7 linked regions of the Canis lupus familiaris genome follow. The protein of the gene in region 1 interacts with the protein of each later gene in a pairwise test. Links are inferred from orthologs where the notes say so. Each region holds a gene or a part of one and is shown in the gene's direction. Other genes may lie near its edges.

Region 1 (4,100 bases):
GTGGAGTCAGCCCAGGAGTTAAGTCCTATGGTCTTGAACACATCCTACATCTGGTTAGGAAATCCAGACTTGCCCTGGGGGTACAGGACAGGACACACAGCAAGAATTTGAATCCTTCTAAACCAGTGGGTGGAAGTTCCTCATTTGGCAATAAGAATCTGCAATGGGAACTGTAATTTCAGGTTCCTATTAGGACATAACACAGATGCCTGAGCAAAGAGGGGCAGCCTTTCAATTGAAGATGCCTAGCCAGTCCAAAGCTCTGAGGCCTGGGTCAAAAGGGACTCTAGGATTTCCCGATGCAGTCTTCTTAGGACATAGTCATCCATTTAGCCAATGAATAATGCGTGTTCTGTGCCAAACACTATTGTAGGCTCTGGAGATAGAGTGGTGAAACAGAGATGAGAAAACACATCCAGAGAGGGTAGGTGACTTTTCCAAGGTCACAGAGCTATATAAAAGCTAGAAATCACTAATCTTACAACAAAAGACCACATATTTTTTCTAAAGACATATGTTTTATTCCTAATTATAGGAATAATTATTGCCTTCAAGCCTTTCTTGGTATTTTATCATAGATCTTTCAGAGGAGGTTATATCATTTTTATTCACACCAACAAGGTGAACAGCAAATTTTCCTGTATCTTACATTAGGAACTACATATGAAGTTCTGAAGTTATGTTCAACCAGAATTAGATTTATAGCATTTTGTGGAGTGATCAGGAGGCAGACTTAAATCACCTCCTTTCTCTAGCATGGACTGTTCCTTATAATTTTATCAGACCTCTTTGTTAAAGTGGATTTTTAAGGTACTGTCAACACATAGGTGAGGGCACTGCAGTTTGCAGTCGTTGAACTAGGACAGGCAGTCAGTGTCAGAAAAGACTCCCCTCCCTGCCTTTGGGCCTAGCTCTGCAATAGCCATAGGATCTCTGGTAAGTCATTGAAATTTTCTAGACTGGATTCCTCATCTGGAGGAACTAAGGGAGTTAAAATCATTATCTCTCAGGGCCCCTTCCTGCTTTATGACTATAGGATTTCACAAAATTGTTTTCTGACAAGGTAAAATAGCCCATTTCCTTGGTTTTACCATATAAAGTACTGTTGGTATAGCTAGAGCAGACTCTACATTTAGTTCTGATGTAAACATGAATTCTTGACATGAAACATCACATGCTTTTATTTCAGGGTTAACCTCCATTTCAGCTAATCATGGGAGAGATTAAAGTCTCTCCTGATTATAACTGGTTTAGAAGTACAGTTCCCCTTAAAAAGGTATGTATGATTTTACTACACCTCTTATTTGCAAAATCATGTATTGTTCTTGTGACTTAGATGTTATGCCTTAGTAGTGTTTGAGAGTAAAGGTTATTGCCAAGTATCCTGACTCTGGGTTGCAGAGCGTAAAGTTCACCTCTTTGTCAAGCGCTATCAGATTTTGAGACTCATTCAAGAGTAAAAGTGGGTGTATAACTATACTCATTATTTTATAATTGCTTTTATGTATTCAAGCAAGCAGAAATATGTGTACTCTGTTTGGTGGAAAGCTTGCAGTAACAACAACTATATAGTAGGTACAGTCAGATTCTATTATAAAGCCTTTTCCTATTCTTCAGATTTAAGAGTTACATTGGGTAACATTATAAATCCTATATTTGCAATGATAGTTGTCTTCAGGAAACCTTATTTGCCTGGGATGTCCAAAAACCCTAAGCATTTATCTTGAAGTTTGACTGTTGACTCTGAGCTCCTAATTAATCCCAAATGTTTGGGGATCACATTAACAAAAGCTAGTTAAGATGATCTGAAAATCATCTATATCTTGTTAAAATCATTTTGTCAGGGTAGACAGCTGTGGAAGTACGATACAGATTTGAATTAATAACATAGCTGCTCTCCATCTAGAAATTTGAGATACAGTTTTCTAAATATAAACAGGATATCTGCCGTATAACTGTCACTATAGTAATAGCACTATTTAATTCTTCTAACAGTTTTAACAAAGCATGGGTAGCTATGTGCCCATTTCACAGATGAGAAAACTGAAGTTCAGAGAGGTTAACTTGTTAAAGGTCACATAGCTTGGTAGAGTCTGGATCATAATCAAATTAGTCTGGCATCAAAGCCAGAAGTACTTGACTGGTAACCAAAGGGAGCCTCCCTTCCTTCTTGCTCCCTGGGAAACTACCGCCCATGCCAAAAGATGATTAGCTCCTGGGGTCCTCTACCTTGTCCCATTCCCTCAAGTAACTCATGTGAGCTCCTCTTGATGGACTCACTTTCTCAGCAAGCTGATCACCAGACCCAAAGCAACCCAAACTTCTTGAAATATTCTTAGAAGTAGTTATAGCAAGTAGCTTCATTGATGTACTTTTCTCCAGCTGTCAGTTCAGTCCATCTGTCCGTGATTGTGATAAGTTTGCTTGAAATTTCATGGTGCTAGATTTTAAATTATCAAAGAGATACTGTGTCTTCTAAAATTATCAGATAGAATTCTGACAAAATTGCCATTGAAAGAGCTCTGAGAACATTGAAGTGATAAACTTATTCCAAATGAATTATTAAAATCATTTCCTACAAAATTTTAGAGATCTGAATATCTTATCTCTGGGAATTTTATTACTACAAGATTGGGATTTACTGTGTGCACTGTCAAAGGCTGTTAAGAGAGTTTTACCACAATTATAGCAAAACAAACAACAGCAAAAAAAACAAAACCCAGAAAAACCGAAAAACAATGAAAAGCCAAACTGTGAGGAGCAAAATACAAAGTGCAAAAACATGAGTATGAGCTATTATTGTCATCATCTTTGACCCAGGGAAGTCCAAAAGGGAATTGTTAGGATCCACTGGACTTTACCTTGCCCTATTTGACTGCTCCCAGTGACACCTGTGATCCCAGTCAGTGTGCTGCTGTCTGCAATGACACCATGGACCCGCAGTATTTCCAGCTAGGAGCTCTCAGAAAACAGAATCTGGAGGCCTTGAATTTTTTAATGTAAAAGTAGGATAAATACTGATTCACATTGGCAAAAGTTCAGGCAGTTAATGTACTTTTCCAAATACCACCAAAAAGTCAAAGAAAACAAAAAGTAATCACACAGCGAATAATACTAACACTGAACACAAAATATCTGCCAAACTCAGCACTGAGCACTTGACTTGTCTCAGTTCATTTAAAGCTCATCCTTTTTCCTTGTTGTGTAAGGACCACTAATTAAGGAAGGTTTGTGATGACCTTCCTGCTCCCTACCCTTTTTTCCCAAGAAAGCCAGTTTTTTCCCTGTGCCCACTCCCCACTCCTGACTGGTTTGAAACATTCTTCCAGGACAGGGACACCTACAGCGGCAGCATCCTTCCTATCTTAGCAAAAATCTCTCCCTCAGAGGTGTTGCCTAGATCAGGTTCCAGAAGCATCTCCTGAGTGGTACCGTCTCTCCCTAGTTTGTCCTGAGAGCTTGGAGTCTTTTCTCCCTTCTGAACAGCGCTGGAGAATGACTCCGCAAATTGCCTCCTAGACACACACACACTCACACACACACACACACACACACACACACACACACACACAGCCAGAAGTATGGGAAAGAAATAAGATGCCATGAACAGTTTACTGTTTAATGATAAATAAAATAGGCTTCATATAATCATGGATGGGAAGGAAAATTGAAAACTGATTTAAAAAAAAAAACTCTTTGGAAGAGTATGAAGCAATTCTGTGTATAATATGTTAGCACTGAGGAGGGCAAAAAGAGACCAAATGCAGTTTATTATATGTGCTAGTCTGGTGTGATCCCAGGATACCTTGTAACCACCAAGGCATTAAAGTTGTCAGAGAAATTATAGTAGACAGTAACAATATAAAACCAAATCCATAAAGTTTTCCATATCTTTTTCTTATAACTTTCCCTCTAGATTATCGTGGATGATGATGATAGTAAAATATGGTCACTGTACGATGCCGGCCCCAGAAATATCAGGTGTCCTCTGATATTTCTTCCCCCTGTCAGTGGAACTGCAGATGTATTTTTCCGGCAGATTTTGGCTTTGACTGGATGGGGTTACCGGGTTATAGCTGTAAGTATTGTGGATTCAGTAT
Region 2 (4,100 bases), on another chromosome or scaffold:
CATGATTGACAAGAGTTTCTCCTCTTAGAACATTCTCGTGGATGACGTGGGAACATGTAACTACAGGGCCCAGTGGGTAGAGGGTTGCATGTGTGAGTGTGCTCATGGAATGCTGAGGAGCAAGTGAGGACCATTGTGGAGAGACTTCTTCCTGGTGCCAGGTGCTGCTGCTTTGTCCCCTGACCTGTTTTGCTGACATTGGTATCAGTGAAATGAATGATAATAAGGAAGGCACACTTACCTCTTTGGAGATGGTATGAAAACAGAATGGAATGCAAATATTTTGTATGAAAAATTAAGAATGGGCCCAAAAAGTTTTAAATAGGATAGAACAATGGACCTAGACCAAAAAGATGAAGTTCCAGAGGTAGGTTTTTATGGTCCTACCCATGGATGCTAAAAACCAGCTATAGATTTTTAGGATTGAATCCCTCTAGATTAGCAGTGACTCCTATAGTACTTTGGCATTTCAACTGATAAAGAATTAACAGGATGATTTGTGCGGCCATGGAAAGGACATTCTTAGATCATGTAGTTAGAGGTGTAACTAAGTGAATGGAGGTCTTGGTTTCACAGGACCCTGGATGATGCACCTAAAGCTGGAGTATTGTGTGCACCTGTGAGTAGCCTGTTTAGGAGAGACTTCAGGTTCCCCAGGGCATGGATTTAGATGGTGGGAGTTTTCTAAACATACTCCAACAGTTGGGAGAATATGAGTTCTTTAACAAGGAAAATAGGTTTGGAGGAGGAAGGGAGTATAGTAGCTCTTTACAGATACCTGAAGGGTTGTTTCTGGTGGAAGAAGGATTGTAATGCACTGCTCTAGAGAGGCAAATCTCCACTCTGGGCTAGTTTGGTGGTAGCCCTGCATGGAGGGCTGTTGGGTTGCCAAGAAAGTTGATGGATCTCCTGACACAGGGAGATACTGTGTAGATACTCCTACTCTAGCAGTAGGAGCAATACTTGGAAGACTATTAAGCATCATAGAGACTACAAGCCTATAAAATCTTTAAACTCCTTTTGGACCTAGAAGTTAATTAATGGATTTTTTCTAAGATAAAATACCATTTACTTCTAAGGTCATCAGTCTTAATTTTTTATAGTAACAGATGTGAAGCACATGAAAATTGCATGCCTCACTCTGGGAAAATGCACCTCACGTGGGTGCAGTTAGCACAGTTTGTTAACATATTTATATGTATTGTTTAATCATACAGTCCTGTATTATGAGTCTGAATTTGTATGATCATGTCGGGAGAAGAGTCCACATTCTGTGCAGATGGAAGAGTATAAAGGCCCCAAAGCAGGGAAGGAGGTGACCAGTAATGTGAAGGATGAGGACAGTGTGCCTGCAGTCTGGAGAGTAAGAGGATAAGTAGTAGGAGGTGAGGCTGGAAAGGTGTGTAGGGGCTGGATCATGCAGGCCCTGAAGGCTGGGATATGATTTCCTCCAACTTCTTATTTTGAAAGTGTTCAAAACTATAGAATAGTTCTAGGTGTTGTAGAGTGGGTCACCTAAATTTGCCAATTATTATCCTTTGGTATAGTTCCATTTTCTCTTTCTCTCATACACACACACACACACACACACACACCACACACACTTCTCTTTGTTGAACCATTGGAGAATAAGTTAGCACATGCCATGTCTAAAGCATGTCATGTTTAAAAGCACATATCTTCCAAGAGCAAAGCATATCTCGGATATATTCACAATACTAAGAAAGTTAACATGGATAAAATACCTTGACCTAATATACAATCTGTATTGAATCCTTAATTGTTCCAATAATGTCCTTTGCTAACTTTTTTTTTTTTTTTTTTTTTTTTGAGAGAGAGAGGGAGGGAGAGGAAGAGAGAAAATTGTAAGCAGATTCTACGTGGAACTTGAGGCAGGGCTTGATCTCACCACGCCTGAGATCATGACCTGAGCCAAAATCAAGAATTCTATGCTTAACTGACTGAGCCACCCAGGTGCCGCTAGCTTTTTTTTTTTTTTTTTTTTTTCAATCTAAGATCCAGTCAAGGAGCATGCATTGTATACAGATTATACACTGGCATTTTGGGGGTATAGGCCAGTTATTTTGTAAAATGTCCATCAGTTTAAATTTGCTTGGTTACTTCCTCATGATTAAATTCAGGTTGAACATTTATAGCAAAAATACTACATAGGTGATGTAAGCACTGAGAACTACCTAACATCAGGAGCACATGGTATCAGCTTCTGTTATTGGTTTTAAAAATTGATCACTTGGTTAAGGTGATATCTACCAGATTTCTTCATAGTAAAAGTAAAATTTTCCTTTTATAATAAAGTTATCTTGGGGTGCCTGGCTGGCTCAGTTGGTTGAGCATCCAGCTCTTGATTTCGGCTCAGGTCATGATTTCAGGGTTGTGAGATTGAGCCCTGCATCAGGCTGCCTGCTGAACATGGAGCCTGCTCAAGATTCTCTTTCTCCCTCTCCCTCTACCCGTCCCCCACTCCCAGCTCATGTGCACCTGCTTTCTCTCTCTCTTTCTCTCTGAAAAATAATAAATAATCTGGAGAATGGTACCTTAGGATTCTGTGAATATCCTGTTCCCCAACAATCATTCACCTGATGTTTTTCACAGCCATTGGTTGCAAGATAATTATTACTTTGGTGATTACAAAATGGTGACTTTTTTTCTAACGGTATGATTTTTCTTATGTTAGTTGGTATTATTCTGTGAAGAAGAACTTTTCCTTCTCCTCCAGCCTTTTATATCAGTATAAGTATGAACCTGTGGATATTTTAAATTTGAATTTAAGATTTAATATGTTTTATAATCCATTTCTAACATTAATCATTTTATGTTTTAATTTCTCCATAGTTGGCCAGCAGGCACACTATCAGAAAGGTTTCGGAGAAATTTATGGACTGAGTGAATGAAATAATAATATGAAAATTATGAATAAATCTGTATTTTCCATGCTTTTTTCTCCTGAGAACCTCTATTTGTCAGTGCCAATAACATGATTTTATTTTTATTTTTCTCTAGGTCTTATGGACTAATTGGCTCTCATTCAGCAGGAACCTAACAGATAAGTCATCCTGCTGTATGTCAAGACAATGCTTGGTTTTAAGACTGCTCTGAAAATGATTAAAGTGGTATTGCAATGTGACATTGTCAGGGGGCAAGAAGCAGCTTGAGAATTTCCCATTAATCAAATAGCCTTGAAGGAAACTTCTTTCCATTAGGTAGGACTGCATGGCCAGCAGCCCCCACTGAAGGGTTGAAAATGAGTGTCCCAGTGGCTCCGAAGAAATCATGTTACGCTCAGTTGCGGGACAACAGAAATGGAGTGAAAAATAATAATGAGAGTATCCTAAGTCTGGGGGATACAAATGCCAATCAAATCATGTTGGAGGTCAGTTCCTCTCATGATGAGTCCGAGACACGTGACCTGACAGATGAAATTGGAAATGCAAATTCAAGCGAGCCAGAGAATAGTACCCATTTCAATAAGGAATTTCACCAATTTCAGGGCTTTGGGAAAGGATCGCAGGCTGGCCCTACCAGTCTGAAAGATTTTAAATTTTCCCTGACCGTCCACGGAGGACTACATGACGAGCACACAACGGAGAGAGGCACAGATATCCTCCAGACCCCTCGCAGTGTTCAGGGACCAAGTCTGTCAACTTGGAGGAATGTTATGGCTGAGGCCAGTCCAGAGGTTTTGGCTAAAAGGGATGCTGAACTTCCCCGGCATGCTCCTAAGGATAAGTTGGCAAAGACCCTTGACAATGAGGAATTGCGAAGGCATTCTTTGGAAAGAGCGAGCAGCTCTGCCGTTGTAGCAGATGTTCCCATGAAGGAGCACGGTGGAAGCCTTGGTGGGAGCCTGACCTGGCAGCGTCTGCAGCCTGCGCCACTGGACTCCCCTGAAGCCCTGCGTCCTGAGCCCAGTGGCAGGGAGGGGCCACAGAAGATGTTGACAGCCCCCTCTCGAGGAGCAGCTTCTCCTCCAGCTGACAGTACCTCAGAAGGAAAGAGCGTGTGTCATCCTAAACCATCTACCTCAGCAACCAAGGAGACCACCCCTGTAGAGACCCAGAGGGAGAGGGCACAGGGCCCAG
Region 3 (3,009 bases), on another chromosome or scaffold:
GTGCCAGACTTCCTATGGCATCCAGACAGGCAATCAGCCAGAGGGAACCATGACTTTCGCATTCCTAAAAGACTCACTTCCAGGTTATGAATCCTGCGGTTCCATTGTGATTGATTATAACATGAAAGGAGGCATACAAACAGTAAGTGTTTCTGAGGTACATGGGTTTCTTTCCAGGATGCTAGAATTATCAGAGGAAAAGAGACTCTCTTGTCTCTGGATTCCTGAGGAATTATTTCCATAAATGGAAAAATACATGGAATGTATTTTCATATATATTTCTATATTCAAGGGCCTTAAATAATAATAATAATAACAACAACAACAACAACAGTAATAAAGGTACCAATGTTTGCTGATAACTTAGGTATCTTTTGTGTCTGCTAAGGCAGAGAAGAAGTGGGTGGTGACTATGTGTTAGAATGGGGCAAGTCAGAAGATGGATAGTATTTCTGGCAAGAATTTAGGGAAAAAGAGAAATAGGAATTATTGCAAATATATGCAAACCTTCGGTATTTTTTTTTGTATTTACTCCATCTGCAAATGAGTACATCTATCTGTATAGTAAAATTCAGACTTGGGGAGTGTTTTCATGTGATATTTTTTTTTTTTGTCTTCACACAGAAAGAGCACCCAAACCCAGGAAAGAAATACTCTGGAGTACAACGAACAGCATACTTGCCTAATAATGAAGAAGGAAATAAGGTTTTGAGACTGCTTTGTAGAGCCTTTGAGCAAAAGCTGATTTTCACAGTGGGAGAGTCTCGAACACTAGGAGTCTCAGATGTCGTTACATGGAATGATATCCACCACAAAACGTCCCGTGTTGGAGGGCCACAAATGTGAGAACCTTCTGAAACATAATGATTGCTAAGCGGGATTTAGAGGTTGTAAAATATGGCAGTTTGAGGAGGTGGCTGTAAGGAGACTGTAGAGCAGTGGGATTGGATACAGTAAAGTATTTTTTTGAAATATAGTTGACATACAATGTTATATTAGTTTCAGTTGTACAACAGTTGATTTGACAATTCTACACATCGCCCAGTGCTGACTATGATAAGTGTAGTTACCGTCTGTCCTTTATTTTGCAACTGGTAGTTGCACCTCCTAGTCCATCTTTTGCCTACCCCCCACCCCATCCCTAGCCCCCTTCCCCCAGCAATCACCAGTTTCTTCTCTGTATTTATGAGACTGTTTCTGTGTGTGTGTGTGTGTGTGTGTGTGTGTGTGTGTTGTATTTTTGATTCCACATATAAGTGAAGTCCTATGGTATTTGTCTTTCTCTGATTTCACCCAACATAATAACCTCTAGGTCTATCTATGTTGTTGCGAATGGCAAGATTTCATCCTTTTTCGTGGCTGAGTAATATTTTATGTATTATTTACTTTGCCTTCTTTTAAAATCACCCTTTCTTTTACCCTCCCCTCCCGAATGGTCCACAGAGATCCTAAAATCAGTTGGCCAATAGTACTCTAGGAAAAGTCTCAGTTAGTAGTGGTGGAAGTTGTATCATCAGCAATCCAGTTGTTCTTTACTTGCCCTTTATGAAACCCAAATAGAATGCCTCAGACCCTTTAGTGTTCAAAAGGGAATGCATCCTAAGCTTTTCAAAAATGTCCCAAATTTGAAAATTCTTCTGTAGAATATGGTTGCCCTCCATAAAAATATAGTGTAGTTATTAGACTTTAGGAGAGTCACTGCTTACCGTGAGCTGAAAATAAAAAGTCTTGTTCAAGGCCAATCCTGGGCAGACAGCTAGGCTCACTTACCAGGCAGAGCACTTACATCTGCACACTTACAAGTGATTATCAGTCATCTGTCTTCAGGATTGTTTTTGAATGTTTGCAACACTACATGTTAATCTACTGTACAGATTTTTTTAAGACCATTTGTGAAGAAGTTAAGGACCTTTTTCCTTCTGCAGGTATGGCTACCCTGATCCCGATTATCTGAAACGTGTCAAACAGGAGCTGAAAGATAAAGGAATTGAGTAAGAAGACTGCAGGAAGGATGTCTTGAGCCAAGCTATCAAAAGACACAGTTGAAGAAACATCTTTTTAAACTTTTCATCTCCGAAAAAAAAAAAAAAAAACTTTTCCTCTCCGGACGCCTGGGTGGCTCAGCGGTTGGGCATCTGCCTTTGGCTCATGATGTGATCCTGGGGTCTCAGAATCAAATCCCGCATTGGGCTTGCTGCCTGGAGCCTGCTTCTCCCTCTGCCTGTGTCTCTGCCTCTCTCTCTCTCTCTCATGAATAAATAAAATCTTTTAAAAAATAAATAAAAATTTTAAAAATAAATAAAATAAAATTTTTCATTTCAAGAAGTCGTAGATGTAAGAGTAAGAATCTCCTAGTCTGTCATTTCTGGAGTGTTACTTTTTACGGAAGATAAAAGCTCCAAATATCTGTGTAATTTTATTGTGCCTCATTCTTGGGTCATCTTTGGGGGAGCAGGGGGTGGAGTGTCGTGAGTCTGAAATCATCTTCTGTGTTCTTCAGTTGAAATAGTAGCTGACAAGTGATACTCTTTTTTAAAAAATTTTAAATATATTTTATTTATTTATTCATGAGAGTCACAGAGCGAGAGGCAGAAACACAAGCAGAGGGAGAAACACAAGCAGAGGGAGAAGCAGGGAGCCCAATGTGGGACTCGATCCCAGGACCCGGGGATCATGCCCTGAGCCGAAGGCAGACGCTCAACCGCTGAGCCACCCAGGCGTCCCTGTCAATTGATACTCTTTTTTATTGCCATTTCTGAGGTAGCCTTTTGTTTCTTTGTTTGCTCCTTAAGTACCCTGTAAGTAAAATCCTAGTGTGGATGGGGGTGGGGAGGAAGGCTTTGATTATGGAAAATTAGAGACCCACATTCCCCACCACCACCACCCTCACCATGGCCAGAAAAGGGGCCAGAAGCAGAGATTGGGCAACCTCTGGTAATAAATGGAATAAGGCTATTTTTCACAACACAGAGCTTGATACACAGTTGGTGCTTCATAATTTTTTGCTGC
Region 4 (4,100 bases), on another chromosome or scaffold:
CAAGGCTCCTTCCTGTTGTAACCACACCTGCACCATTTCTCCCTCTGTGTAGTTTTCTCATGCTGCCTTTGTCTGGTTCAGGTGTCTCGTGAATACTGGCCTTGTAAAAACGTAAAATGCCTTGGAAAAGTATTCCCCCCTCTGTATTTTTACCATTTGCTCTTCATTTTTTTTGCTTTACTATATAAACGAACCCCGTTATTTTAAAAATTAACTGTTATTTGGATTGGAAAGGAATAAATGTTAATTAACAACTGTATCAGCTGTTTCTGGTAATGGAATTACCTCTTGTTCAACTTTTTCTCTTGATCAGTGGGAGTTACCAATTATTCTGACCTACTCCTGATGAATGCGCACTATGTACTGTACACACACACACCCACAAATACCCCCACCTCACCTATGGGATTAATTGGGGAAATGGTGTTGCTTTGAGGTATCACAGAGGTTATGATTTTTAATCATAAGTTATTCTTGGTAAGGATCCAAGCATGGATATTAAAATTTTCATTTTATGGTAAAGTATAGCCCTACTCCATAATTAAATTCCTGTGGAATATTTTTTTAAACAAGACTTACTAATTCGATAGAATATAGTTAGCATAAAATGGAGGACCACATCTGTTTTATTCTGCATGTGTCTCTGGCACTTAGAAGTGACTGACATATGAACATTGACTATTTATTGAGTGAAGTGCCGATATGGTAGATGTGATACTGGCTTCCGTAGAAGGCATCATTATAGAACAGTAGTGATTCATTCCTTACGTGATCCTTCTGCTTTTGTTATATGTGGATTTTGACAGTCCCAGATTCTGTATCAAATTTGCATTTACATGTTCTATTCCTATATGAAATGAGATACAGGCAGCTCACTGAAATTATGTCCAATTACTTGTAAGTACTTTAGCCAATCTTCTTCATGCCATATCACATGTAAAAGTAGATAATATTGACATGCCTGGGTGGCTCAGTGGTTGAGCTTCTACCTTTGGCTCAGGGCATGATCCCCGGGGTCCTGGGATCGAGTCCTGCATCAGGCTCACTGCAGAAAGCCTGGTTCTCCGTCTGCCTATGCCTCTGCCTCTCTCTGTGTTGCTCATGAATAAATGAATAAAATCTTTAAAAAAGAAAAAGTAGGTAATATTTGAACTAAGGCAGTAAAACTGCTTCTGGTACTGGGGCTTCTCCAGGGGATCACCCAAAGTCTGAAGGGATCAGTGTCCACATGACCCCCACTGTGCTATAATCCATGAGCAGCATAGTAGTAGGGAAGCTATACTTTCTAGACCTCACTGTCTGTAGAAGTGTAGTATAGTGCCTTAAAATCTCTTATTTGTTTTTTTGCTTTCCTTCCTTTCTTGTTGTAGCGTGGAGATTGGAGAAAGCGTACGTGGAGAGGATGTCTACATTGTTCAGAGTGGTTGTGGCGAAATCAATGACAATCTAATGGAGCTTTTGATCATGATTAATGCCTGCAAGATTGCTTCAGCCAGCCGGGTTACCGCAGTCATCCCATGCTTCCCTTATGCCCGGCAGGATAAGAAGGATAAGGTGAGCGCAGAATCTCCTTTTTAAAAAAACTTAAAAAATCAGGAGAAGCACTTGCCCAAAGTCACACACACACACACACACACACACACACACACACACACAAACACACACACAAATCCTTAATCCTCAGACGCATATTTAGAGGGTATTATTTTTTTTATTGCATTCTCATAGGTATTACCCAGTGTTCAAAAACAATCGCTATGTGGTTGGTTTATATAAACCAACACATTGGTAGTTTGTATTTGTTCCAGTCATATGTATGTGACTTTCATTTAGCTCACTATGACTTTTTAATTGTGACAGTAGGACTAAACACCAGCTACTGTGGAAAAGATTTTTTAAGCTATGGTAGATCTCCTGGGACCCTCTTGGGGTTTCAGCTATGACCTCTTCTGTAAAACTTAAAGTTGGTTACATGAATGCTTGGTCTCATTATACACATACACATCTCACCTCATTCATCTGGTATATTAGAGGTTAAGGTATATACATAAAACTTTGCCAGGACTATTATAATAATCAGTGCCCAAAGTTTCCTTACAATGTCTGGGAGAAGGCCAGATATTTTTATTCTGAGAGATTGTAGTGCTCCTACAGAGTATAAAGAGCATGGGCTTTGCTATTTTATATTGCAGCCAGCATATTTACCTGTTATTTAAGGAAGCTGAAGTTGCTGGAAGGTTGACCTCCAGATGAGTGGATGAGTGGTACTAATTTACAAAATAAACTATAATTTCTATTCTGTGCTAGAGCTTTAAATTTTGACCTGTTACATGTCATACAGGTTTGAGTATGTATGTATTAAAAGAGATTTTTAAAATTCTTGTGAAAAAGATTTTTTTTAAGTCTACCTAGTTTAAATAATTGATCATTGGAACACTTGATAGGCTGAAAATGTTTACATTAAGTTAAGAAAACAAAAGGTGGGAAGGTAGTTTTCTTTTTTGAAAAACATCCTGATTTGAAAAAGTGATATTGCACTTAATATTTGTGCTAGATTGTGATTTACTCGTAAAGCCAATGGCCATGGCACCTTGTATGAATTTCCTTGTAGTGCAGTACCTTAAACATAGTAAGTGCACAATAAAGAAATGCTTCTTGACCAAATGGATTGTGTCTCAAAATGGCTTTTTGGTTTTGTTGTTCTTTTCTCCCTCCCCCCCATTTAGAGCCGGGCTCCAATCTCAGCCAAGCTTGTGGCAAATATGCTCTCTGTGGCAGGCGCGGATCATATTATCACCATGGACCTGCATGCTTCTCAGATTCAGGTATCTGGAAGCTAAATATTTGACATTAGAAAGGGACGGGGGAGGAATAATAATGATAATGCTAGAGACTGCAGAGAAGCAAACACATGCCCAAATACAGCTCAAAGTAACTAGACATTGACATCACTGTAAGCATCCTTACCTGAAGCATTGTTCCTGGTCCTAGTTGCTTTGGGGTAGTTGGATAAGGGAGGTAGTCTGGAATTCTGAGAAGAGCAGAGGCTTTGGTTTCAAACTGAGGTTGAATCCTGGCTCTGACACTTGGCAGCTTTATAACCTTGGGCAAGTTATTTAACTTCTTTGAATACATGCCGCATTGTTAACTGTGAGTATGAAATTGATGGTAGAATGCATGGCCCAGGATGGGTGTTTAGTAAATAGGAACTGTTAATGGTCATCATCAAATTGAGAACCACAGCTATCAGCATACTTTCTAGCATAAACATAGAATAAAGGGAGCAGAATACTACCTTATATTTTGTACTGCTTAAAGGGACTTTCAGATCACTGTTGGAGGCTTGCAGCAATCCAATGAGGTACATGGGGTAGGTGATTCTACCCATTCTGTAGAAGAGAAACAGATCTGTTGAGAAGCACCACTAATCTTATAGCACCTAGTATTGGAACACAGATCTCCTGATTTCTCTTTACTCTGTGTGGCCATTTATAATAGATATATTCCACTAAGCTTGTGTATCAAAGCATCTCTAACTGGGTTAGCTAACAAGCCAGCCCAACATTTGGTGGCGTAAGGCAGTAAGTATGACCTCACAAGTCTGCATGTTGGGCCGTTCTGGTATGGGCTGAATGGGCCGATCTTTCCAAGGGCTCACTTTCACGTTCCTATGAACAGCCATGGGTTAGCTGAGGGCAGGCTGCTTCCCTGTCGGCTGGCCTCTTGTGCAGCCCAGGCCTGAGGAGCCCATTCTAGTCTGCTACACTGGGCATGACTTCTAATCTGTTGGAATGCTAACAGGAAGGTATTCTTTGGGCAAGTTAGTAACCTCTTTGTATCAGCAGTCATTTGTAAATGGAAGTGCAGAAAACAAAGCAAAAGTGACTCAGCTTCTTTCTTCAGGGCTTTTTTGATATCCCAGTGGACAATTTGTATGCAGAGCCAGCTGTCCTGAAGTGGATAAGGGAGAACATCTCTGAGTGGAGGAACTGTACTATTGTCTCACCCGATGCTGGTGGAGCTAAGAGGTATGGCCAGAATGCTTATTATTCTCAAAGTACTACGGAAATCTTTCAGACAGTTACATCAGAAAGTAATAT
Region 5 (4,783 bases), on another chromosome or scaffold:
ACAGAATAGTTTCGCTGCTCTAAAAATCTTGTTCCACCTATTCATCTCTCCTCCTTCCTTCCCCAACCACTGCCTCTCCTTTTTTATACCTAAATTAAGCCTAGAGTAATATTAATTAGTTTGAGCTAAGAATTTGTTTAAATAACCAATGATTCCCCATAGCAATCAAAATTTCTTAATCATTTAGACTAGCAGTGTCCAACAGAAATATGATGTGATCATATGTGTATTTAAACTATCCTAGAAGCTGCCTTTAAGAAGTAAAAAAAAAAGTGACAATAATTTTAGTATACTTATTCCAATATATTGACAATATCAATGATAAAATGTCAGCATATAAAAATTGAGGTGTTTTCATTTTTTGCTGCTACCACTCAAAATCTCGTGTGCATTTTATTTTTTTAAAGATTTATTTACTTTGGGGGGTAGGGACAAAGGGAGAGGGAGAGGGAGAGAGAGAAAATTTCCAGCAGACTTTGGACTGATGGAGGAGCCTGACCCAGGCCTGGATCCCATCAGCCTGAGATCATGACCTGAGCTAAAATCAAGCAGGATGCTTAACCAACTGAGCCACTCAGGCACTCCTCTAGTATGCATTTTAAATTTACAGCATATCTCATTTCAGTCCAGTCACACTTAAAAGGCTCAATAGCCACAAGTGGCCTGATGACTAATATATTGGACAGTGAGGTCCTAGACTGTGAGCTATCTGAAAGCAAGTTATCTCTGTCTCCAGGGCCTCCAGAATAGGAATGCAGTGAATATTTTTGTAAGGTATACCAGAAACATAAAAGGGGTTCTCTAAACTTTTGCATGCTGATACTTTTATGTTTTTTCGACCACTTTCCTTTAAACTTCCTTTTCAGTCTTGGAAAAAGTGGAACGGGGGAGATTATGCTCTTTCCAGCCTATCAAACAAATGAATACCGGGCTTCCTGACTCCCAGAAGGCCTGAATCATCTTAAATGTTGACTCATGAGCCTAAGGTGACTGAAATGTAATGTGAATCAAATTTGCCTTCCAAGGCATCATTATGTTTCCACTTTCCTCCTCTTTCTCTCTCTCTCTTTGGGTGACTCATCCTTCTACCACGTACGAGTCCAGCAGCAGGCAGATCCCCAAACCCTCCTGGATGAGCAGACTTTGAAATGGGCCCAGTCCTCCAGACGGTCCAAGCCCTGCTCTGTTTTGCCTACCTCATCCAGAGTCTGCAGTTTGGACAGAGAACGACCTTAAAGCTCTCCAAAAAAAATGAAAATAAAAAAAAAAAATAAATTTTTTTTCTTTTTAAGGTGGTGAAAGTAGTAGTAACGAGGTGGTCCAGTCATTTAAGCTTTAAAAAAATAATCTTTTAATTTCAAAATCTTTTAATATTTAGCGTACACTCAAATCCTTAGGGCCTACACTTCATAGTACCTTTCAACCACTCTGGGTTTTTTCCTTTCCTGGGAGGAAAGTTACCACCCCCAATCCCCCAGGATAACGCCCTTCCGGGGGCGCGGGCCAGGAACCCGCAAGTCCTGCGGCAGGTCGCCCGCCCCCGCGCAAGCCCACGCGGCACCCGAGCCGCCCGCTGCCCTCGGGCTCTGGGCAAAGCCGCGACCCCCGCCCACCCCGCATCTGACCCAAGGTGCAGGGTGGGGCTCTCAGCTCCAAGCCCCGCCCACCGGACTCACCCCAGCCGGTAGGAGAGGGGAAGTCCAAATGGCCCCACCCACTTTTCTCTTTCCGTCTCTCCATTGGGCCGGATGGTTGCCCGTCATCTCTATCCCGTAGGCGATTGGCTCCCTCCCTCCCGCGCCAGTCCCTGCCTCTCCCCGCGCGGGGAGGGTAAGTCACGCCAAACGGGGCGGAGAATCGGCTGGCCTCTCTCCTTCGCTCGCCTGGGCGGTGGCGGCAACTGGGGACGGGGCGGGTGGCGCATCACGGGCGCAGAGGCAGGAGGAGCAGTCTCATTGTTCCGGGAGCCGTCGCCACTGCAGGTCTCCGGGCTCTCTCGGCCCGGCCCCTGTCAGTCCTCCCCAACCCCCACAACCGCCCGCGGCCCCGGGGAGCAGCGTCCCGTGGAGACGAGCCGCTGCAGCAGCATCTCCGACCCGCCGGCCATGGAAGACATGGACCAGTCGCCTCTGGTCTCCTCGTCCTCGGACAGCCCGCCCCGGCCTCAGCCCCCGTTCAAGTACCAGTTCGTGAGGGACCCCGAGGACGAGGAGGAAGACGAGGAGGAGGAAGACGAGGAGGACGAGGACGAGGACTTGGAGGAGCTGGAGGTGCTGGAGAGGAAGCCCGCCGCCGGGCTGTCCGCGGCCCCGGTGCCCCCCGCCGCCGCCGCCGTCCCCGGCGCGCCCCTGCTGGACTTCGGCAGTGACTTCGTGCCCCCCGCGCCCCGCGGGCCGCTGCCGACCGCGCCCCCCGCCGCCCCGGAGCGGCCGCCGTCTTGGGACCCGAGCCCCACGTCGCCCGCGGGGCCCGCGCCCTCCCTGCCCTCCGCTGCCGCAGCCTCGCCCTCCAAGCTCCCCGAGGACGATGAGCCTCCGGCCCGGCCTCCCCCTCCTCCCCCGGCCGGCGTGAGCCCCCAGGCCGAGCCCGCGTGGACGCCCCCGGCCCCGGCCCCCGCCGCGCCCCCCTCCACGCCGGCCGCGCCCAAGCGCAGAGGCTCCTCAGGCTCAGTGGGTGAGTGCCGCGCCCTCCGCCCCGCGCAGCCCCGCGCTCCCCTCCGTCTTTTGTGTGCACCCCCCGCTGCCTCGGGCGGAGCCCCCTTCCCCGCCCCGAGGGGCTTTGTCCGTGGACCTCCGGGCGAAGGCGCCCCCCCTGGCAGGAGCCGTCAGGAGCAGGGTGGGGCGGCCGCGGAAACCCGGGCTTGTTCTTTATTGTCTGTCTCGGAGTCGGGGAGCACGTGCACCCCGCCTGCTCCCGGCCTCCTCCCTCTGGTCCCTATCCTGCTGCGTCCCGGAAGTTAGGCACCCGCCCGTACCGGGAGCTCGGTTGGCCTCGAGGAGCTAGCGTTGTGGATACGGGGGGCTGGCCGGGCTCCCGGGTGAGGATGGAAAGGCCTTGGCGCCCGTAATCTTTTGTCTGCCAGTCTGGGTTGCTCCCAGGGAAAAGGCGCAGTTCTGCGGCTGGTCCGTCTGGCAGCCGTGAGCCCTGCGCTGCACCCCCACCCCCGCTCACCTTCTCCCTGGCCTGGGTGTCACCCCCCACCCCCACCCCCCCGCAGCGCCTCATTCCCCTCCCTCTCCACTCGCGCTGGCGGGGAGCTGGCCCAGTGGAAAACATGCACCCTGACCCAGCCGCCGCGACGGGAGAGCGCCTCCAGTGGTGTGGCGCGTGCGGATTTGGGAAGGCGAGAGTTCTGGCAAAGTCCTGCCACCGCCCAGTCTCCTCGGGCTGTGATGTGGCGACTCCCCAGCTAAACCGCGCCGGGGAAGTGGGATCTGAGCATCCGCGGTCCGAGGAGGCGCAGTTCTCCCACCGGGTCCTGGCTGCTGAGCCAGAGGATTTGCTGCCAGGGTGGTTTGGGCTCTTGAATCGGAGAGGAAAAGAGGCAAAATGGTTGACATTCTTAGGGAAGGGAAACCTGTGGGGTTTGTTTGTTTGTTTTCCTTTTTTCTTTTTTTTTTTTTTCTTTTTTTTCTTTTTGGCCGCGAATAGGCCAATTGACTTTGTGGCGGATTAGCCAGCCAGGAGACTTAATGTTTTGAGAAAGATTATTTTTTTTTCACGTAGCGGTTAGAGATACTCTTTCTTAGTAGTTACATGTTTTAGGTCAAATCTGCAATAGTAGTCTGTAAACAGTTTCCAAATTTTTTTTTTTTTATTCGCTTTAGTACTTGCATGTATGTATATATTTAAAGGAACATTGTTTCCTTACCCTTTTCCTTTTTGGGAAGTTGTTTATTTTGGAAGAGAATAAAATCAAATTTGTTAGAGATGGAGAATCTTACAAGTTATGAGTTTATTAGCTTAAGTCTTGTTATTTTGGGGGGCAGAAAGTGTCCTACCAGCAAGCAGTAGGACCTCTTTTTATGTATAAAAGAGCAAGAATCTGGTAGTGTGACTGCCTGCTGAGAGATCTTTATAGCTTTCCTTGTAGGATTTTACAAATGGTTCATTTTCCAGGAGAAAATGAAATTTTTTTCAGTTCATTCCTCCACAATGGGGAAGTAAGCCAATTGTGATGTTTCTGAATAACGTTTTGATAATGACATACCCCAAAGCGTTACTCAAAACACTTTACACAAGTAACTCAAAACACGTTACACAAAATCATTACACTAAAGATATTAGAAGATGAAGAGCAACTCAGTGTTTCATTTTCTGAATTAAGTGTGTAAGAGAAACTAAGGTGAGGTAGAAAAATAAAAAGTGATAAATCTGCAAATGGAAAATCTAATGATTAACAAAGGAATACTGATTTGTCTCATCTTGTATTCCAGCATGGGGACAAAGAGGAATTCTGATCTTTGAACATTAGGGATTCAGGAGGTGACATTCTCTTGGAATTTTGACTTGTGGAATACTAAGTTTGGAAGACAAAGGAGAGAATATTGCTTACTCAGGGACTCTTATCTCTATAAAGTTCCCTAATTCTGTATTGATGATAGCTATTTGGAAACCTAAGTGCTTTAGTAAATCACTGAACATCCATGATTATAGTCATGGATAGTTAAGCCATCTCTGTGAGTCTCGGGTTCTTAGCAGTTTGTTCATTCATTCAATTGATGATTGATTGATTACCTACAAAGAGACAGGTTCTCTTCTGGGCTGTGAGGGTATAGCAATA
Region 6 (4,100 bases), on another chromosome or scaffold:
AAGCAGTAGGTGACGCAGGCCCTCACTTATCAAGGTGGGTGAGAAAAGGGCAGGATGAGGCAGTGAGGGGGAGACATGAGTAATTTCTTTATCTCAGATAGAGGTCACTGATTCTGACAGGTCAGTGACTTGAACACAGTGGGAAATTGCCTCATTCATCTCTGTGCAGCACCTGCCCCTGCTCCAGGGCGGAGAGAGAGAGAGCGCGAGAGAGTGTGTGTGTGTGTGTGTGTGTGTGTGTGTGTGTGTGGTGCCTCCAACATCCCATGGGCCTGTTGATATAGGTGAGCTCTAAGATGAGAAGAAAGTCTAACATAAGCTCAGATACGACTTGCACTTAAGCAAACAGCTTTAAACTCCAAGGATCAAAGCTGGAGGAGTCTGCCCTTTGTAAATTCAGGGAATAACAGAGAAGCTGCTATGCCTGTTCAAGTTAGCCATAATTTTTTCGGCTACAGGTGTCTCCAGCGGCACTTGTGTGAGATTAAACTAGTCACAGAGCAGCTCCAGGTCTTTCCAACAGCCTCTCTCCTCCCCTGACATGACTGGGGAAGAGCAGAGCCATCCTTCATCTTCCCTGCTTGATACATTATTAGGTTCATGATACATTAAGGGCTTCATGAGACATATCAAATGAGGAAATTTGCTTTAGCAATGACCCTGGCTAAATCTCTAACCCATATATATAAAAAAAGTACTGTTATTCTTTTATAGTTGGTCATGAAAAGTGAAAAATATACTATTGCTCTTTCAAGGTGACAGTCATTTTTTATGCCTATCTGTGTAGCATTTTACAGTGCTCCTTAAACAGGTCCTGCAAGGTTCTCTCCATACTTCCTTTCTTTTCTGTCCCCCTTCCTTACTTTAGATTCACCAGAAGGCACCAACATGGTGTTTTTAAGGAGCCTAGGGAAATGCCCCATCGCTTTTTGAATGTACAGAGAACCACTGTGGAAGGTGTAGGGCAACTGGATTCTAGTCTGGGAATTGGAATTTCTTAGTCTCCAAATTTGCATAACAAATGAGTTGCTTTGGTTGGGGGTGCTTCACAGGCCATGAAGAAGGCTCATGACTGGGTGGAAGAAAATCAAGCTACAGTGTCAGTAGATATGATGGAAGAGTCGGAGGAGAACACTAAAGAGGAAGAAAAGGAAGAGAGACCAGAAAATCCCAAAGAAGATAAAAAAGAAGAAACGAAAACTAAGACAGTTGAGGTAAATTTATTGGAGATTAGCCACCTAAAGAGCACTAATATGTTTTTTAAAGATTTTATTTATTTATTCCCGAGAGACACAGAGAGAGGCAGAGACACAGGCAGAGGGAGAAGCAGGCTCCCTATGGGGAGCCCGACGTGGGTCTTGATCCCAGGACCCCGGGATCATGACCAGAGCCAAAGGTAGACGCTCAACCACTGAGCCACCAAGGTGCCCCTAAAGAGCGGTAATATTACTTTAGTTTTGTTAGCTGAATTTCAAGTGAGCAGAAACCATTTCATTTTCGTTTGTACCCTGTTTCAAACAGTATAGAAATATGAGGATTAACGTGATAAACACTAAAATTTCTCAGTGCCAAGACAATTCGGGACTTAGCATAGATATTGTAGTTTTTCTCCAGAGCTTCACGATGATAATTGAAAGGAAAAAAAAAAAGATCTTTAAGAACATAGTTGATTTATCATTAGGATAAAATTCCATCTGATATGCAAATGTGTAACTATAAAATGTCTTTATGCCCCATAAACTAATGAGGTAATTGAAGCTTTTTTCCAAAAAATTTCACGGCCGTAGTTTTTAATCTGTAATTTAATAAATTTATGTGTGCATAATTTATAGCCTGCCTGTGTTCACAAATGAGTTTGCAATAACTTCATCTCTACATTGAATTTCCATTTTAGAGAAAGTAACTTTTTATTTTTTTTCTTTAAGATTTTATTTATGTATTTGTGAGAGAGAGTGAGTGGAGGGAGAGGGATAGAGAATCTGAAGGAGACCCTGCGCTGAGCGTAGAGCCCAATGAGGGGTTCAGTCCCACAACTGTGAGATCATGACCTGAGCCAAAACTAGGAGTCAGATGCTAAACCGACTGAGCCACCCGGTGCCCCATGAAAGTAACTTTTTAAATCCTGTCACTTTAAAGACAAATGGCCATTGAGGTTTATTTATTCGGTTGCCCTTCTGAGCACCTCCCTGTAGTGTGTGCAGAACTGCTCTGAGAAGTAGGGACACAGCTGTAAGGCTTGCATGTCACCTGGGACCTGGAAGCACTGGCATTTGATGGCAGCATTTTTACTTAGAAGAGTCTCAGATACACTCAGTTAATCTTTGGGTAAACTTTTCAGGACATTTTTTTCAAGAATTACATCTTTTTTTTTTTTTTGACATTATAGGGTTGTTGTTGTTGTTGTTGTTGTTGTTAAGTAAACTCTATCCCCAATGTGGAACTTGAACTCACAACTCAGAGGTCAAGAGTCACATGCTCTACCGACCGAACCAGCCAGGTGCCTTGCGTCACAGGTTTTTTTCTTTTAAAAAAAGCTTCTGCTCGGTGAATAATTGTCTTACTTGCATTTATCTATTTCAGGAAGTATATATGCTATCCATCGAAAGTCTGGCAGAAGTAACAGCACGCTGTATCGAGCAGCTTCATAAAGTAGCAGAATTGATTCTTCACGGACAAGAAGAGGAAAAACCAGCGCAGGACCAAGCAAGAGTGCTGATAAAGTAAATGTTACTTTTAATTCTTATTTTTCCAGTTTTATGTACACAAGCCATTCAAATGCACACACACACACAAGCACACCCATGCACCCACACACCTGGGGCTACTAAAGATTTAAATTACAAGTTCTGAATTTGCATAATGTTGTTCTGTGGTCATCTTAGGAAATAGAGTCTCTTAGGAGTCATAAGATTCTTAGCTGAATCATGTTAGCAAGAATAATAATAATTAACTAGGATTTATGAAGAGATTTAAGGAAAGACACACTACATCATTTCAAAGGTAAGTGTTTATTTTCGTAGATCGAAGTCTTAGAAGCACGGACCTTTAAGGGAAATCGCATTTTTAACGTACTACAAGAATAGAGAAAGAACACCTGGATGCGACTTATACCGCTTTGCGTATTCTGAATTCTGGCAGTGATGGTTGTTGATGTAAGCCAGTTCCCTGTGGATTGCATGTGTGTGCATATGTGCTGTCATATGTTATATTCTTCAACAAATAGTAGCCATTATTATTAGTTTATCTAGTGAAATAGTCATGTGTATCAGTGTAACCTTATATACATGAAAATAGTTGGTATGAAGCATATATTAAAATAGTTGGTATGGAGCTGAAAAACAAGCTGTTAACTTTACGCGCATGACTGTATGCCGTGGTATAGAAAATTAGCACAGATCCAAGTACCTTCTCGTTACTACACAGACACAGAAGTCAAAATAGAGCCTCCTAAAAATATATGAGTACAGGCACACACATCTCAATACACCCATTTGCTTTGCTAGCTAACTAGTCTTTGCTTATTACTGCATTTGGCCTTGTAGATTGGGGAGCAAATGTTTAGTCAAAGAACCTTCCAAAAAGTCAATGTTAGCATCTTTGTCCTACTGGTAGCACTTCTCCTCACTTGTAAGGATGTCTTACAAGTCTAGATTTCCCTATGTGAAGATGAAAGATATTTTTTTAAAGATTTTATGTATTCATGAGAGACAAAGAGTGAAGCAGAGACACAGACAGAGAGAGAAGCAGGCTCCCTGCAGGGAGCCTGGTGTGAGACTAGATCCCAGGACCCCAGGATCACGACCTGAGCCAAAGGCAGGTGCTCAATCGCTGAGCCACCCAGGCATCCCCAAAATGAAAGGTATTATAAAAACCGTACAATCCTGCACTTAATGGACTTAGGAAGAATATGTACTTACTTCAGTGTGTAAAAGGAAGAAGAAAAGGAAAAGAAGGAAAAGTTTAAAGTATTGAGGAAAACACCTAAGTGCTCTTTTATGTATGTGGCACTTGTTTGTAAAGGGAGAATGTTAAGAAGTCTCTAAGCATGTATATAGCAGGACCTTACTCTTAGCACCTCTGATTTCCAGTCCAGATTGTCT
Region 7 (4,637 bases), on another chromosome or scaffold:
TTTTTTACATTATTACTACCGTATTTGATTGTTATTTTAGGTACCTGAGTAGCAGTACAAAATTTCCTCTTTGCTTATAAAATGGGTTCATTATCTACTCCTTTAGACATTTCATTATGATTTTTTAATTTTTAGAGTTCAAAAGATATACTATACTACAATATTCAACAGATAATACAATTTCTGGTATCACTCGCTTTTATCCAAAGCAAAATAATTTGGCTTTGTACTCTTTCAAATTTATTCGTTTACAGGGTAAACCTGGTTTTGCAGAATTTAATAAATGGATGCAAGCAGCTACCTGGGAAGGGCAAAGCATCCAGTTCACTCGAGGATCCTGTAATCTGATACTAATAATGTTGCTCTCCCTTTCAGTCCTAAGTATGTTCCATAATCTCAGTATTTCCTAGCCTCTCATTGGGACAGGTTTTGTTTTTGGCACTCTTATTACCGAAATTAATCTGTCTTGAACTGTTGGGTTGGCTAAGTTTTCTATTTCCCATTTGTTAAATCACTGTGGGAATGGTATCAGGACAACTATGTCCTGAATTTTCAAGGTCTTTTAAGCCTATTTTCTGCATCAGTTGGCTTTCCTCTCTTCCAGTCTCTCCCAGGCTTTTCTCTTTTCCCCTTTTGCTTAGCTCCTTTTACACTCAAGCCGTGTAGGGGATTTAAATTCCAACCCGGAACTCGGAATGCCGCGCCTTGAATGACGGGAATCGTAGTTTTCGTGACTCCTCCCTAATCGCTTTTCACGCCGATTCCCTTCCACAGTGAAAAACGACAACTCCCAGAATGCGCCTGCGGGGTAGCCACCCCTGTGCGCACGCGCCCTGAGGCCGCAGAATTTGAATCGGCGGCGTTGTTATTGACGCCATATTGGGGCCGGCGGCGGGTGGAATAGTCGTACAGAGGAGGGGGAAGCGGCTGGACGTGTTCGATTGAGCTCCTGCCGCCGCCTCCACCTCGCAATCCCTCCACATCGACCGCCGCTCTCAAGCTGCTGACCTTACTCGGGCTTACTCGTGGCCGCGTTCCAGCCTCATACCTGACGGGGCTGGTTTCGACTTCCGAAGGGAGCCGGTCTCAGCGCAGGAGCGCCTCAGGCGCGGCGCAAAGCTCGAACGGACGGCGGGGGCGGCCGGAGCCTCTCCCGGGGGAGCTGTGCCTGAGGAGGCGGAAGAGCCCCCCTGACGCGGCTGTCGTGAGCGGCCGCCACCGCCCCTCCCGCTCTCGCCTGGGCCGGCCCGGCCACTGCCCCTGCCGCGGCGGCAGCGGCGGCGGCGGCTCTCGCGTCCTCGCCGGCGCTGCACCACCCCGCCTTCCTGCTCTTGAGCCCGTCGGTTAGGCTCTCCTCGGGTCCCCGCTCCCCCCCCGCTTCCCTCACCCTCCCCTCCCGTCACCTCTCCCCGACCCCACCCGAGTCCGGCCTCGGCTGCCCCGGCCATGGCGTGCGGCGCCACTCTGAAAAGGACTCTGGATTTCGACCCGCTGCTGAGCCCAGCGTCCCCGAAGCGGAGGCGATGTGCGCCATTGTCGGCGCCCACCTCGGCTGCTGCCTCTCCGTCGGCGGCGGCCGCCGCCACCGCCGCCTCCTTCTCGGCCGCCGCCGCCTCGCCGCAGAAGTATCTCCGAATGGAGCCGTCCCCCTTTGGCGACGTCTCCTCCCGCCTCACCACAGGTGGGACTCGGCCCCGCGGCCGCCGGGGTGGGCTGGAGAACGGGGGTCCCGGGACGCGGAACCCGGCCCCAGGGATGGGCTTGCCGGGTTGGCCGTCCTCCTTCGCAGAAGTAGCAGTGGAGCGGCCGCATTTCTTCAGTTGGGTCCTCTGGCCCCGGCGACACAATAGAAGTGGCCTGGTGTCAAAGGGGTGGGGGAGTCGGGAGGTGGGGAGGGCAGGGGCTGTGCCTTGCCGGGTATTGTGGGGAAGAGGAAGATCCTTTTCTTTGGGCTGAATGACTGGAATGGAGTGTTTCCGTAGTCTGGAGAGCCCCAGCGGAAATGATCAGAGAGGGTGATATTATTCATAAATTTAGGCGAGAGAAGAGTAACGTTTCGCCCGAATCTCGATATCTGTCTCCTCGAATCGATTGGTCGCAGCCCTTAACTGTGGGACTGGGTGGTTTGAGGCGAGGCAGCAGCCCCTCCTCCAGTTCAGACATGGCTGATTTTAGTACAGAGGGGGTGGGGGGTGGGGATGGATGTCACTGGGGCGAGATCTAGGCCTGTCATTAATCACCCACAAGAACGCCACTTTGGCTGAGTCAAGACCTGTTTCCCTAGCAGGGTCAACAACAAAGAAAATGCTCTTCCCGAGTACTGTAATATGATCGTACTATGCGTCTAGACCCTGAGAAACTTGAACTTTTAATGAAAAGCGAATTGTACTGAAAATTGGGCCTGAGTAGTTGCTTCTGGTTGGAGGTGCTTTATTTCTCAACAGGGTACGGTGGGGTGGCGGGGGGTGGGGGGGTGGAGAACAGCCTAGGCCTTGAGAGTAATAAAGAAATCAACCCAAGACTCTAAGGCACTTAAGACTGTCTTTGCTTTTCATCTTGAAACATTTCCTGAAAGTGACTATGGGGAAATGCCTTTTGGCTGCTTTGTACTGCATGTGTGTGTGCCCAGTTTTTTCTGTACTTTGAAAATCCTTGTGTGCCCCTGGCACAGTCCTAGGATAGGCTTTTTGTGGACTGGTAGTGTAAATCTCTTTGTGAGTATAGTATGCAAAGGTTTCATATTTGAGCCTTTAGTGATATCATTTGCAGACAAAGCCTTTTCATAGTTTAAGTGTTTTATTATCAGCTTTTAAAAAACCCGTGGGCAGTATATACCTCTATATTTGGTAACTTCCATTTGGAATTGTTTCGTTCAAGTCAGGTTTTTAAATATCCTTCCCCAGATTTTTAGGGACACCCTCAATGCCTAGGCTACCATTTCTGCTATTAAATATTTGACTAACTTAAGGATACACTATTTTAGAGTTTTAAAGAGTTTTCAGAAGAATTCTCAGTTTTATTTAGTAACTCTGCCTAAACTGCCTTGTATGTAAAGGCATTGGTTGATTGACTGTTAGGCTTTGCATTAAAAGACAATCAGTGTTATGAGCTGGTGATTAAATTATTTTTAGATTTTTGTCTTTTTAGTCAAATGATACTGAAAATTGAAATGATACCTAGGAATCCGTACTTAACAAATAAGGCCACTTAAAAATAGCCCTGGCTAACTAGCTATAAATTTCAGGGGAGCCGGTGAATTAATACAGTGTTAGGTTTGGGAGTTTAGTGTTAGGTTTGGGATATACTTTAGTATATCTCAATGCTGCAGTAGTCTTGAGCATATATGATTAACCAGCCAGGAGCTATATTTGTCTTCACTTTAAAGGGAATTTATTCAGGATTGTGATCTTTTACAAATCTGTCATTTCATTGATGCATTTGTAGCATTGGTTAATGCTGTTGGCTCCACATTGTCTCAAATTTCAATTGAGTGGATGATAATTTAGTAAATGACTGGAGTAATTGAAATTGTTTAAATAAGCCTGATGTTTCAAATTCATGTTTTCCAAAATATTGCTGTCATCTTCGGGGTGTTTTTAACATCTATTCTGGAAGTTTGATCATATCCTGAACTCTTAAAATCACAGCCTAATTGATCATTTTGAGCCTGCTAAAAGATTTAATTTTTTCAACCGACTTGAGTATTAACAGAAAAAGTTGACTTGAGGAAAGCAGTTGAGATTGTAAAGTTTTGAATTGCTAAAATTTACTTTTTTTTTTACTGTAATTTTGAATGATATTCTACATGAAGTTTAATTTGGCTTTTGTTTTTAGATGGCCAGCTTGGGTAGGCTCCTGTGTGGTTTTTGTAATGATGTCATAATGGGAGCTGCAGTGTTGTGCAGGTATAAAAGACCTTTTCAGTTATCATGTCCCCAATCTTGGAAATAATTTTTCCAAGCACTTAATTTTTAGATTTTTGTTTTAACAGTGGTGATTCTCAAACTTTGCAAGAGTAAATATCTGTATATCTGTGGCTGAAATAAATAGCTAGGGTTGGAAATGGAAAGTGATTTACCAAGTTGAGATTGACTAGGACTCTGCAGAAACTTTGTTTTCCTTTCATTTCTGTCCGTTCAAGTGTAATTTAAAAATTTAGAGCTAGAGTACTGAAATTATTTTTTTTTCCAGAACATGCATATAATTTATTGTTTTATCATTGTTCTTTTCTGGAAACTTAGTGTGTTTTGACGTGTAGTTGAAATGATGTTCTGGCTTTACTAGTTTGAGGAACTTGGGATTTCAACCCTAGTTTATTTTAGTCATCCCAGGAAGGTGATTCGAAAGTTTGACTTGATGACTGTTATTTAAATTATTTAAATCTGTATTTTTCAAACTGTTGCAACTTAATGCCAGGGAAAAGGAAAGGGCTGGTTAAAAAAAAAAAAAAGTTTTATTGGAACCAGCCAGGGTCATTCTCTTCCCCCCCCCCCCCCCCAAAGTATGGCTCATTGCAGGCTACAACTGCAGAGCTAGTATTTGTTATAGAGACTGTATTTTCCCAAAGCTCAAGTATTTACTGTCTGATCCTTTACAGAAAAAGTGTGTCCACTCCTGCCTTTCTAGGATGTCAGCAG

The links.
Region 2: the proteins of SPG21 (region 1) and MTUS2 interact in binary tests that used the Homo sapiens proteins (3 or more experiments, as listed by UniProt). The link is inferred for Canis lupus familiaris from reciprocal best matches to the Homo sapiens genes SPG21 and MTUS2.
Region 3: the proteins of SPG21 (region 1) and DTX3L interact in binary tests that used the Homo sapiens proteins (3 or more experiments, as listed by UniProt). The two-hybrid records come from large-scale screens. The link is inferred for Canis lupus familiaris from reciprocal best matches to the Homo sapiens genes SPG21 and DTX3L.
Region 4: the proteins of SPG21 (region 1) and PRPS1 interact in binary tests that used the Homo sapiens proteins (3 or more experiments, as listed by UniProt). The two-hybrid records come from large-scale screens. The link is inferred for Canis lupus familiaris from reciprocal best matches to the Homo sapiens genes SPG21 and PRPS1.
Region 5: the proteins of SPG21 (region 1) and RTN4 interact in a two-hybrid assay, tested with the Homo sapiens proteins (2 studies listed by BioGRID and IntAct). The two-hybrid records come from large-scale screens. The link is inferred for Canis lupus familiaris from reciprocal best matches to the Homo sapiens genes SPG21 and RTN4.
Region 6: the proteins of SPG21 (region 1) and FAM114A1 interact in binary tests that used the Homo sapiens proteins (3 or more experiments, as listed by UniProt). The two-hybrid records come from large-scale screens. The link is inferred for Canis lupus familiaris from reciprocal best matches to the Homo sapiens genes SPG21 and FAM114A1.
Region 7: the proteins of SPG21 (region 1) and AKIRIN2 interact in binary tests that used the Homo sapiens proteins (3 or more experiments, as listed by UniProt). The two-hybrid records come from large-scale screens. The link is inferred for Canis lupus familiaris from reciprocal best matches to the Homo sapiens genes SPG21 and AKIRIN2.

Annotation. Positions count from the first base shown.
Region 1 is NC_049251.1:29,794,383-29,798,482, reverse strand, and holds part of SPG21 (maspardin), read left to right. Parts: intron 1-1,189; 5' UTR 1,190-1,213; coding exon 1,214-1,276; intron 1,277-3,916; coding exon 3,917-4,078; intron 4,079-4,100. UniProt on the Homo sapiens protein: May play a role as a negative regulatory factor in CD4-dependent T-cell activation.
Region 2 is NC_049246.1:10,823,332-10,827,431, reverse strand, and holds part of MTUS2 (microtubule-associated tumor suppressor candidate 2), read left to right. Parts: intron 1-3,021; 5' UTR 3,022-3,262; coding exon 3,263-4,100. UniProt on the Homo sapiens protein: Binds microtubules. Together with MAPRE1 may target the microtubule depolymerase KIF2C to the plus-end of microtubules. May regulate the dynamics of microtubules at their growing distal tip.
Region 3 is NC_049254.1:26,315,305-26,318,313, forward strand, and holds the end of DTX3L (E3 ubiquitin-protein ligase DTX3L), read left to right. Parts: coding exon 1-142; intron 143-624; coding exon 625-842; intron 843-1,925; coding exon 1,926-1,995; 3' UTR 1,996-2,149; downstream 2,150-3,009.
Region 4 is NC_049260.1:81,769,485-81,773,584, forward strand, and holds part of PRPS1 (ribose-phosphate pyrophosphokinase 1), read left to right. Parts: intron 1-1,370; coding exon 1,371-1,554; intron 1,555-2,726; coding exon 2,727-2,825; intron 2,826-3,903; coding exon 3,904-4,028; intron 4,029-4,100. UniProt on the Homo sapiens protein: Catalyzes the synthesis of phosphoribosylpyrophosphate (PRPP) that is essential for nucleotide synthesis.
Region 5 is NC_049231.1:57,225,208-57,229,990, reverse strand, and holds the start of RTN4 (reticulon-4), read left to right. Parts: upstream 1-1,845; 5' UTR 1,846-2,105; coding exon 2,106-2,673; intron 2,674-4,783. UniProt on the Homo sapiens protein: Required to induce the formation and stabilization of endoplasmic reticulum (ER) tubules. They regulate membrane morphogenesis in the ER by promoting tubular ER production.
Region 6 is NC_049224.1:74,008,690-74,012,789, reverse strand, and holds part of FAM114A1 (protein NOXP20), read left to right. Parts: intron 1-1,052; coding exon 1,053-1,214; intron 1,215-2,580; coding exon 2,581-2,720; intron 2,721-4,100. UniProt on the Homo sapiens protein: May play a role in neuronal cell development.
Region 7 is NC_049233.1:47,344,450-47,349,086, reverse strand, and holds the start of AKIRIN2 (akirin-2), read left to right. Parts: upstream 1-1,342; 5' UTR 1,343-1,446; coding exon 1,447-1,681; intron 1,682-4,637. UniProt on the Homo sapiens protein: Molecular adapter that acts as a bridge between a variety of multiprotein complexes, and which is involved in embryonic development, immunity, myogenesis and brain development.